Drosophila melanogaster: one gene and its partner. The protein of the gene in region 1 interacts with the protein of each later gene in a pairwise test. Each region holds a gene or a part of one and is shown on either strand. Other genes may lie near its edges.

Region 1 (4,707 bases):
TTCGTGGGCAACCTCCATGCTGGGACTGGTTTGGATTTGTGAAGAGCCACTGGTATTCTGCGACCCTAATGACCCTTTGCTCTCAGTAATATATGAAGTGTTGGGCCTGCGCGAATCAAGTCCTGGCGAGGGATTAGCTAACTGAGGGAGGCTTTTCCTAAGCTTTTCGGCAATATCTTTGCCGAGAATGGACAGCATGCAGGCCTTGAAAGTCGACGTGCAAGGTTTTAATTTGTATGCGTATTTATATCGGATCCTCGGAGTAATGTAAAACGCCAGGTAATAGTCAAGGGCACATTCCTGGACATCCTTGCTCGCATAATTAGCATCCAGTTGCCTCATTTGCTCCACAATGTCCGATAAGTTTGCCATATTTTTCTTAAATACCTCGAAGCTGACGATGGAACTGTGAAATATTTATAGTAAACAACGAGTATTTGGAAAGTGTCCCAAACTTACTTTTTCGTAAGGGATTTCATTGCAGTAAGCTCCGCCACAGTCTTGACCGCTTTTTTGTCCAGTGGTTTCCCAGATTCAAGCAACTTTTCCAAAGGGATTTCTGTAGTTGCATTGAAGATATTCGTAGGGGATCGCTTTTCTGGATACATGTAAAAGCGGTTGTAGAACCTTTGTAGTGTAAGAAGACGACGCTCATCGTCGGACAAGAGGACCAGGCAGTGTTCTATGCTCCTGACAATTTTTTTGAACAGTAACATCTTATTGATGCACTGTAGGAATACATCAAAGGATACCGGAAAGATGAAGGCGCCACATCTGAAATGAGTCAAAATTGGTTAATCTGCTCTGCTCGAAAATAATATTACCCACCTCTCCACATTAACAATTACGTCTGGAGATTCCGATCCTGATGGTTTACATTCAACTGCAACGCCTTCAACTGCATCATGGGACTTCGCGGTTTCAGCGAGCGTCGTCAACTGGCTGCCTTCAACTAAGACTTCGGGTTGCTCTACTTGAGATGGTCCTGCAGCTGCTACGTTTGCAACATCGTTTTGTGAAATTCCTCCTGGCTCCGGTACTTTAAGCAAGTTGTCGCGTGTCCGCCTGGGACACGGCGCCACCTTGACAGGGAACCTTGCCCGTATGCTGGGATTCCGGTAGAACTCTTTGTAGTACCATCTGCTCCACTCGACCAACGTTCTATTGTCTCCATTGGCAGTTTTCAACTCACTTGCAATTTCAGACAAATTAACGATTAACTTTTGAAATGCCGCAAAGGACACTGGATACATGTTGCTCCTGAAATCAAACAATATTTAATGTTAAGATGTAAAAGATTCACAGTAACCTTACGACTTGTTCTATGCAAGTAACGTTATTTGTTGTTTATCATAAACATCACATTTCAATACCGCGAAATAAACTAGGCTGAATATCACAGTGTGACTGTGCTGCAAAATGACAATATTTATCGATAGCGAACGACTAAATATTTTCACTACGAGAACTCGAACTTACTTAAAATTTTACAAGCCAGTTAATACTTTTGTGCTTTATTGTTTATTGTTTATTTATTTATTGTGCTGATTTAAACAGGGTTATAATTTCATAGCTAGCTAATTTTACATGTTATGATTTTCCAAATGACTCCAAATTTGTAAGGTGTGCTAGGTATAGTAGGTGGTATATTCCAGCGGTCGCCGCACGGTCACACTCGAGCTGCGATTCGGAGGGCTAGAAAATCATCGATGTTTACGTACATCGATAGTTGGCAGGGCTTTGCTTTGTTTTGCAAATTCCAAGCGGAGTTGAGGCTGTGACAGATTGCGGGTGCGAGTTGTGAAGCAACATTGCGTCATCATCAGCTCCTGGACAGAAAAGAGCTCAGGGAACGAGGCAGGTCCGCGCCCGGGGACAAGGAAAGCCTTTAGCCACGAGGACGCAGAGGGATCAAAGGCGGAGGAGGAGGCGGTGGCCGTGTCACGGGAGCTGGATCAAATGGCCAGCACCACTGGAAGTGCCCCCAGCCTGGGACCCCCCCAGAGCGGGAGTGGTGGCTCTGGCACATTGGAGGGCACGCTAAGCAAGTGGACGAATGTGATGAAGGGCTGGCAGTACCGCTTCTTCGTTCTGGACGAGAATGCTGGACTGCTGTCCTATTACACGGTGAGTGGCTGCAGTGCACCTCCTGACTGAAACCCATATCGCACCCAGAACGAACTCCTCATGGCCCGCAGCCTTATCTTATCTGCTATAGATACATTTGGATACACATACACACTTGTTGGTACCCCTTTATTGCGTGATTTGTTGACAGGAGATTACTTTTTTGAGTCTGACTGAGGGGTCTGACTCTTGCGCCGCTGCGAGGCTTGATAGGCACTATTATAGAAGTCGTAAAAGCCGTAGAACATGCCAAGAATGACGGTGGTGAAGTAGAGAAGCACTAAGGGCGGCATGCCGCACAATACCAGCTGGAAAGCAACCTGCGTGAGGATAAGAACGAACTGCGTCATCTGAATCACTGTGATGCACTTCTTCACTGGAGTTAGGGCCTGCACCAAGGTCTTATCCGCCACTGCCGCCACAAAGTAGTACGAGTACATGATAACGTGAACGATAGAATTCAAGAACACGCAGAAGTAAGCAGCAGAACCTGTACAATTGAACGCATTTATGAAAATAGTCGGTCACCCAGCAGCCGGCTAGCTTACCATTTTCGTTGAAGTTGATCAGTGCGTAGACCAGCGTTACCGTGGAGAAGTGATGAAAGATGTGCAGCTTGGACACCTGGTTTTGTTTCTTGCGAAGCACAAAGATCACGGTTTCAATCAGCTCAGAGATCTTCAGCCAGAAGAGAAAGTAGGCCAAGTTGTAGTACCGCCTCACGAGCTCTGGGCTGCTCCCGATGTCGCGGCACTTCCAAAAGATGTATATGGTGTTGTCCGTAATGTACAGGACCTGCGAGAGAAAAGCAATTAGCCGATGCTGCTGCTGCTGTACAATTTATAAATATCCACCTCTTTGATAGCATATATGCAGGAAACCACCTGGATGAAATTATGTAGCAAGATAAGTCGCTTGAGCTCGTAAGGTTTGCGCCATTCCATGAAACTATAAGCGAGGTATTAAAGGTCTTCTTTCTTATATAAGTAAGCCAGCGAACCCGCTGAATTGCTAATGTCAAGTCCACTGACCCACATGCAAACAAGCGACGCTGACATTAGCATGTGAACTTACTGCGGACCCGCTTTGGTGACGAAGTACAGATAGAGGACCAGCACTGTGATCATGTACCAGGGATCCTTATAAATCGTAGGAACGTTCACCACCGGCTGCAAATTTATACCTACAATTTTATTGAAACCATCAGACAGTTTTTTGACAAATCCAAGAGGAGCTCACTTGCTGACGCCTCCATTTCGCTTCTTTGTGTTGAGCTTCCGCTGGCCTGTATCCTTTAGGTGGCGTGGGACTGGTGGACTGCAGCTCTACCGCCTTGACCGCTGGCGAACATTTAAGCGTGAACAGCACGCCGAACACTGTTTTTATATTCCCCAAGCATTGATTAGAATACATTAATTTATAGCAGGCGTAATAGCCCTTTGACAGTATGAGCTGCGATTTAATGAACTTTCCTAATTCCGACTGCATTTCTGTTACAGTCGAAGGATAAGATGATAAAGGGCGTGAGGCGCGGTTGTGTTCGTTTAAAGGATGCGCTAATCGGAATCGACGACCAGGAGGACAACACATTCACAATCACTGTGGACCATAAGACCTTCCACTTTCAGGTAAGTGTCTCCTTAGTAAATGGAAATAAAGATTGTCTAAGGAAAGCTTGATCAATGTTTTGCAGTTTCACTAATAGTTCATAATTCACCGTAATAGTTTAAGTACGACGTTGTTTGTTTTATGAACTGAAGAACCAACTCATTTTAAATTCCACACTTGCATTGATTTTTTATGACGTCTAGTGGTATACGTAAGCAAAAACTATGTAGATCAAGAGGGCAGCACGTTTCTTTTTGCAATTCGCGTTTTCGTCCCAAAAGATATAAAGCAAGCATGATGGCCTATCCGCTTTGCTTGCCAAGAGTTTTCGTCCTCTTACCGGAAAAGGGTATCCGGGCATCGACCCAGAAACCACTGTCTGGTCCTCACGTTCCACCTTTTGTTTGACTTTGTTGCCTTGATGTAACGATAAAACTTTTTCCAATACCCATACACAAGCAAAGGAGCCCACTAAACTTGCCAACTTTCCAAACGCTTGCAGGCGCGACACAACGAGGAGCGGGAGCAGTGGGTGCGCCGCCTGGAGGACACCATTCGACGCCACGCGAACCGGTCGCGTCTGTGGGACAGCCAAAGCGCTTTCTACATCGCCGGTGGCTACACGAAGGAAGGGGGCGGGAGCGGAACAGGCGGCAGAAGACCCAACCACCTGGAGTTGGTGGCGCGCCGTGTTTCCGAGGCAGATGCCTACCTCCAGCTGATGATTGAGCAAACGAACGTGAGTATTGTGCCACGTAATGCAGGCATTATGCAATTTATTGTCATTTTTTCTTGTTCTCTGTCCTGCCCAGTTACTGGACAAACGCATCGCGGAGCTGACCGATCCGGCGGAGCAGTCTAAGTGCAAGGCACTCCAGGACAACGCAAATGTAAGTAAGCAGAGGTTACACGTTTCCCTCGGACTCAGTAACTACAACCTCCAGGTGGAGTTCGTCACGAAAGTTGTTTGAG
Region 2 (3,848 bases), on another chromosome or scaffold:
AGAGTTAATTACGATGATAATGATAAACATGACTATTTTTGCATACGCAAGAACATCTACCATAGCCATAGCCCGTATATAAGCACACACGATATATAAGTATCTATGTAATCCCAGTTCCCCCAATAGACTTTGATGTTCCCACACGTATCGAAACTTAACGAATTACTTTCGGAATAGGATGTAATATAAGCAGTGGCAAGAGTTAGCGGCTAAATCTCCTGGATATTGTGTATCTTTGTACGATCTGGATCAGCGTCCAAGTCCACGTCCAAAACTCAACATTTTCTATAAACTTTAGTGCAAACTTTATGTTCAAATTAACTTTAAATGTCGAAATGAATGTTCTAATTAATCGAAGAAAACAAAAAACATAAAAACTTAAAAACGGAAAACCGAAACGAACAAAAAGTATTTTATAAAAACATTGAAAAGTAACCCAACCTGAAAGTCTTCTCATTGCTTACCAAACCGTTGTCTTGAATCTTGATTCTTGATTTTGCATTGCGGTTTGGCTTAGTGTTTATTGGGCATATCTTAGTGGAAACTGGAAACTGGAGACTATCCTTGCAGCATGCATCTCTCAAAGCACAAGAGGCACGGCCTCTGCCACCGGCTGGTTGATCTCCTGGTGGCGTTGCAGTAATCCCAAGCACTGGTGCAGGCACTGGGTGCTGGCCGTGGAGATCGCCTTGAGCAAAAGAAGATCGGGATCCGTTGGCGAGAAGGAAGCGCAGTCGATGCTCTCGATGGCCCTGGCCAGAGAAGCGTTGCTGGAAGGGTTTGGGGATAGATTTATAGATTGCAGGAGGTAATGCGGCGTTAGCTACGAATCACTGTGCAGTTACCATTGTTCCGTGAGAAACAGAGCTTGGCGCGCTGAAACCATGGCATCGGAGGCGGCAAGCAATTCCCGCGGAGGAAGCGGCGACGAGTTGCTGATGTCCATCGCCTTCATGTGACTCTCGACCACCGCCCGCAGGCCATCCACCCACTCCTGACGGGCCCTGGCATCGTTGGCCCTCAGCTTTACCGTATCGCCGGAGGCGCAGGCGATGGCGAACGTCCTAGAGTCCTCGTCACTCGGGTACACCACTGCGCCGGCCAGCTGCACCTGGCCCCTGGGAGCACTGGCCAGGACGTGGGGCGAGGGCGCGATGTCGTCGCCCACCGTCGACGAGTCGCACAGGTAGTAGCTCAGCGATCCTGTCTTGGCGTCCACCGTAAACCAACGGTACTGCCATCCTGCAAAGTGGATGCTGCGATTAGGGAAGCGGTTCTAGCGGGGATTCTATGGGATGGAGAGCTTGAAGGTGCTGCTCCAAAGGTGAAAGTTTGCTCACCCTTCATCACATTGGTGTATTTGCTGAGCTGACCGCAGAGTTTCAGTTTGGCCGATTCACGAATGATCCTGTTCAAGTTGCTCTCCATTTTGGCGGCGGCGTCCTTGGGATCGGGGCGCACTGGGGGCGTGGCCTGCCGTGGGCGGTGCTTCTTCTTGCGCTGGCGAAGCGAGTTCTTGATTTTGCGTAAAATGTTTGCAGGTATATTAATTTGATTCGGGTTTATTTGGTAAAACTCGGCAGAAACGGAAGCTAATGAACAACAGACAGTGTTGTATCAGCGAGCTTATGCTAGCAGGCGAGCATCGATAGTAGTACAATCGATGCCTGTTATCGTAGATAGTTGGTATTTTTACATATTATTTAAAAAAAGTCAAAATATTTAATATTTAATCATAGGTATCATTTTGAGATAATCATGAGCGTAACTATGTAGACTTTTTTAAGAAAAACTCTACTCAATTGCGATGCCTTATGACTATCGATTATTAACACCTATCGAGGCACGCAATCGGTGTGCTCGATTAAAAAAGGCTGAAAATTCAGTTTGTAAGCCGTTTCGGCATCTGGTCACACTTGTCGTTTCGCAAAATCCAATTTGTTTAAACAAAACAGAGAGCGCCCGTTCGTAAAATCGCGGTTTCTTGAAAAATGAAAATTTTAGCTTAGCCCGCGTCAAGTCGCGAACTGCGTGCAACGGTAACTTGGGTGATTTTACCGGTGGGAAAGCGTGTGAAAAACAAAAGCAGCGCGAGTGAAAAAAATCAATTTGGTGGCACAAGCAGTGGCAAGAAGAAGAGCCAAGACGCAAGAGAACTGCTTGCGGATGATGTGATGATACAGATATACATAGCATATACATATGTATATACAGGCTATATATACGTCTGGAGTTTGTGTTCAAATTGAGGCAATTAAAACATAGCGGATTTTCGCCCGTTCGCAGTGGCGAATGTTGTGTTGAGTGTGTATATTTCCAAATAATGTTTCAACTTGTGTGCCTGCCTGCGCGAGTTCTATTTGATGTTTTTATGCTGCGTGTGATTTATGACATTTAACGGGAGTACATATGTATACATGTGTGCACATGCCACATACACATACGCATATGTATGCACCCCCATGCGAGTGTGTGTGTTTGCCCGTCTGTTTGTATCTCCCTCTCACTCCCACACGCACGAAAGTGCGAGGGTGACTGAAGAAAAAAACTCCACTCCTTGCATCTAAAAATAGGAAAACTACACAAATTGTGTGCAAATTATGTGTAGCATTTAGAAAACCAAGTGAAATACCCATTGCTAATCTGCATCTCTGCTTCCCCACTCATTTTCCACCCACACACACACACGCACACACGGGCAAACACACGAAAACCGCAACAACACAAACACAACAGCAAAAGAGTGACCATGAAAATGCCAGCGAGAAATTTGCGAAAATCAATGAGCAAAAGCAGCGGTTCATAATAATAACTAATAACAGAGCCAAAACAAGTGAAATTCGAGGCTGGAATTCGTTATGCTGCAGTGCCCATCGTCGGATTAAAAAACGGGCGGAGACCCCCCAGTTTAACCCCTCCAGTGATTAACCCCCGGCCGCTTTAACCACCCCTCCCCCTTCCCCTGCCGACGGCATGGACGGCCAGCGGGCCAGGGATCTCCTGACCCTCCTCCAGGAACGGGTCGTCTTCCTCACGGGCGGACGGGACCGGCGCGGCGGACCGCTCCTCTGCTTCCCGGCCACGCCCCGTCGCGATCGCCTCAAGCCGGAGGATCTGCGGCGTCTCCTCAGCTACCTGATCAGCATTCCCAGGTGAGGATGTAGTTGCTACTACCACATAGGAATAGCCATTTAGTTAGTTAGGTTCTATTGACATCCAATTGGATCTGGGCAAAGGTCGTCCATCTCAAAATTGTCTATGTTATAACTATATTTATGTTATCTATGTATTACGAAAGCACACGTAGAAGTATAAATATATTAAAATACAGCAAGATAAATAATTATGAACATATTGCCGAGAAAAAAAAGAGTGCAGCTAATTCTTAATCTATGCCTGCACTTTATTACGTTAAGTTATTGTTTGATAAGCACTAGCCATGATAATAATTTAAAATTGCAATAATATGATAACACTCAGCAAAGTAAAGAGGACCATTTTCATATTTTGTACATTTAAATATGTTGCTTTTCTAGATTTCATCACAAACTAATTGGCTTAATTCGTAGCATAGACATTTACATTTTTATAGACTTTTTGATTTACGAGCTATAAATAAAGCATAGAAAATTCTTGGAACTTATAATGACTCACCCAAATCATCTTGCACCTAATTAAATTTTACACTTTTCATCTTGACATATACATTCTATATATGTATATTTGATCAACTTTTCTTTAAAAACGTCCAGCTTAGTTAAGTGCACTCAAAGTGGATTGCATGACTGCCAGCTTTAGTTACAATTTAGATGAATTGAAAACGTCAAGTTCTTAGATATTTATAC

Evidence for each region. Proteins that work in one complex are often made in the same cells at the same time.
Region 2: the proteins of CG1513 (region 1) and CG9205 interact in a two-hybrid assay, tested with the Drosophila melanogaster proteins (one large-scale study listed by BioGRID).

Annotation. Positions count from the first base shown.
Region 1 is NT_033778.4:9,888,655-9,893,361, reverse strand, and holds the start of CG1513 (uncharacterized protein), read left to right. Parts: upstream 1-1,672; 5' UTR 1,673-1,959; coding exon 1,960-2,127; intron 2,128-2,220; exon of another isoform or gene 2,221-2,282; coding exon of another isoform or gene 2,283-2,617; intron 2,618-2,675; coding exon of another isoform or gene 2,676-2,922; intron 2,923-2,981; coding exon of another isoform or gene 2,982-3,075; intron 3,076-3,201; coding exon of another isoform or gene 3,202-3,310; intron 3,311-3,366; coding exon of another isoform or gene 3,367-3,382; exon of another isoform or gene 3,383-3,484; intron 3,485-3,626; coding exon 3,627-3,755; intron 3,756-3,876; exon of another isoform or gene 3,877-4,237; coding exon 4,238-4,474; exon of another isoform or gene 4,475-4,547; coding exon 4,548-4,625; exon of another isoform or gene 4,626-4,640; coding exon of another isoform or gene 4,641-4,707. Other genes in the region: tea (telomere ends associated), read right to left, coding at 1-406, 460-774, 829-1,253; CG30008 (uncharacterized protein), read right to left, coding at 2,283-2,617, 2,676-2,922, 2,982-3,075, 3,202-3,310, 3,367-3,382; CG12923 (uncharacterized protein), read right to left, coding at 4,641-4,707.
Region 2 is NT_037436.4:1,032,957-1,036,804, reverse strand, and holds CG9205 (uncharacterized protein), read right to left. Parts: upstream 2,109-3,848; 5' UTR 1,920-2,108; intron 1,621-1,919; exon of another isoform or gene 1,596-1,620; 5' UTR 1,432-1,595; coding exon 1,344-1,431; intron 1,246-1,343; coding exon 849-1,245; intron 774-848; coding exon 584-773; 3' UTR 507-583; downstream 1-506. Other genes in the region: trio, read left to right, coding at 2,977-3,155.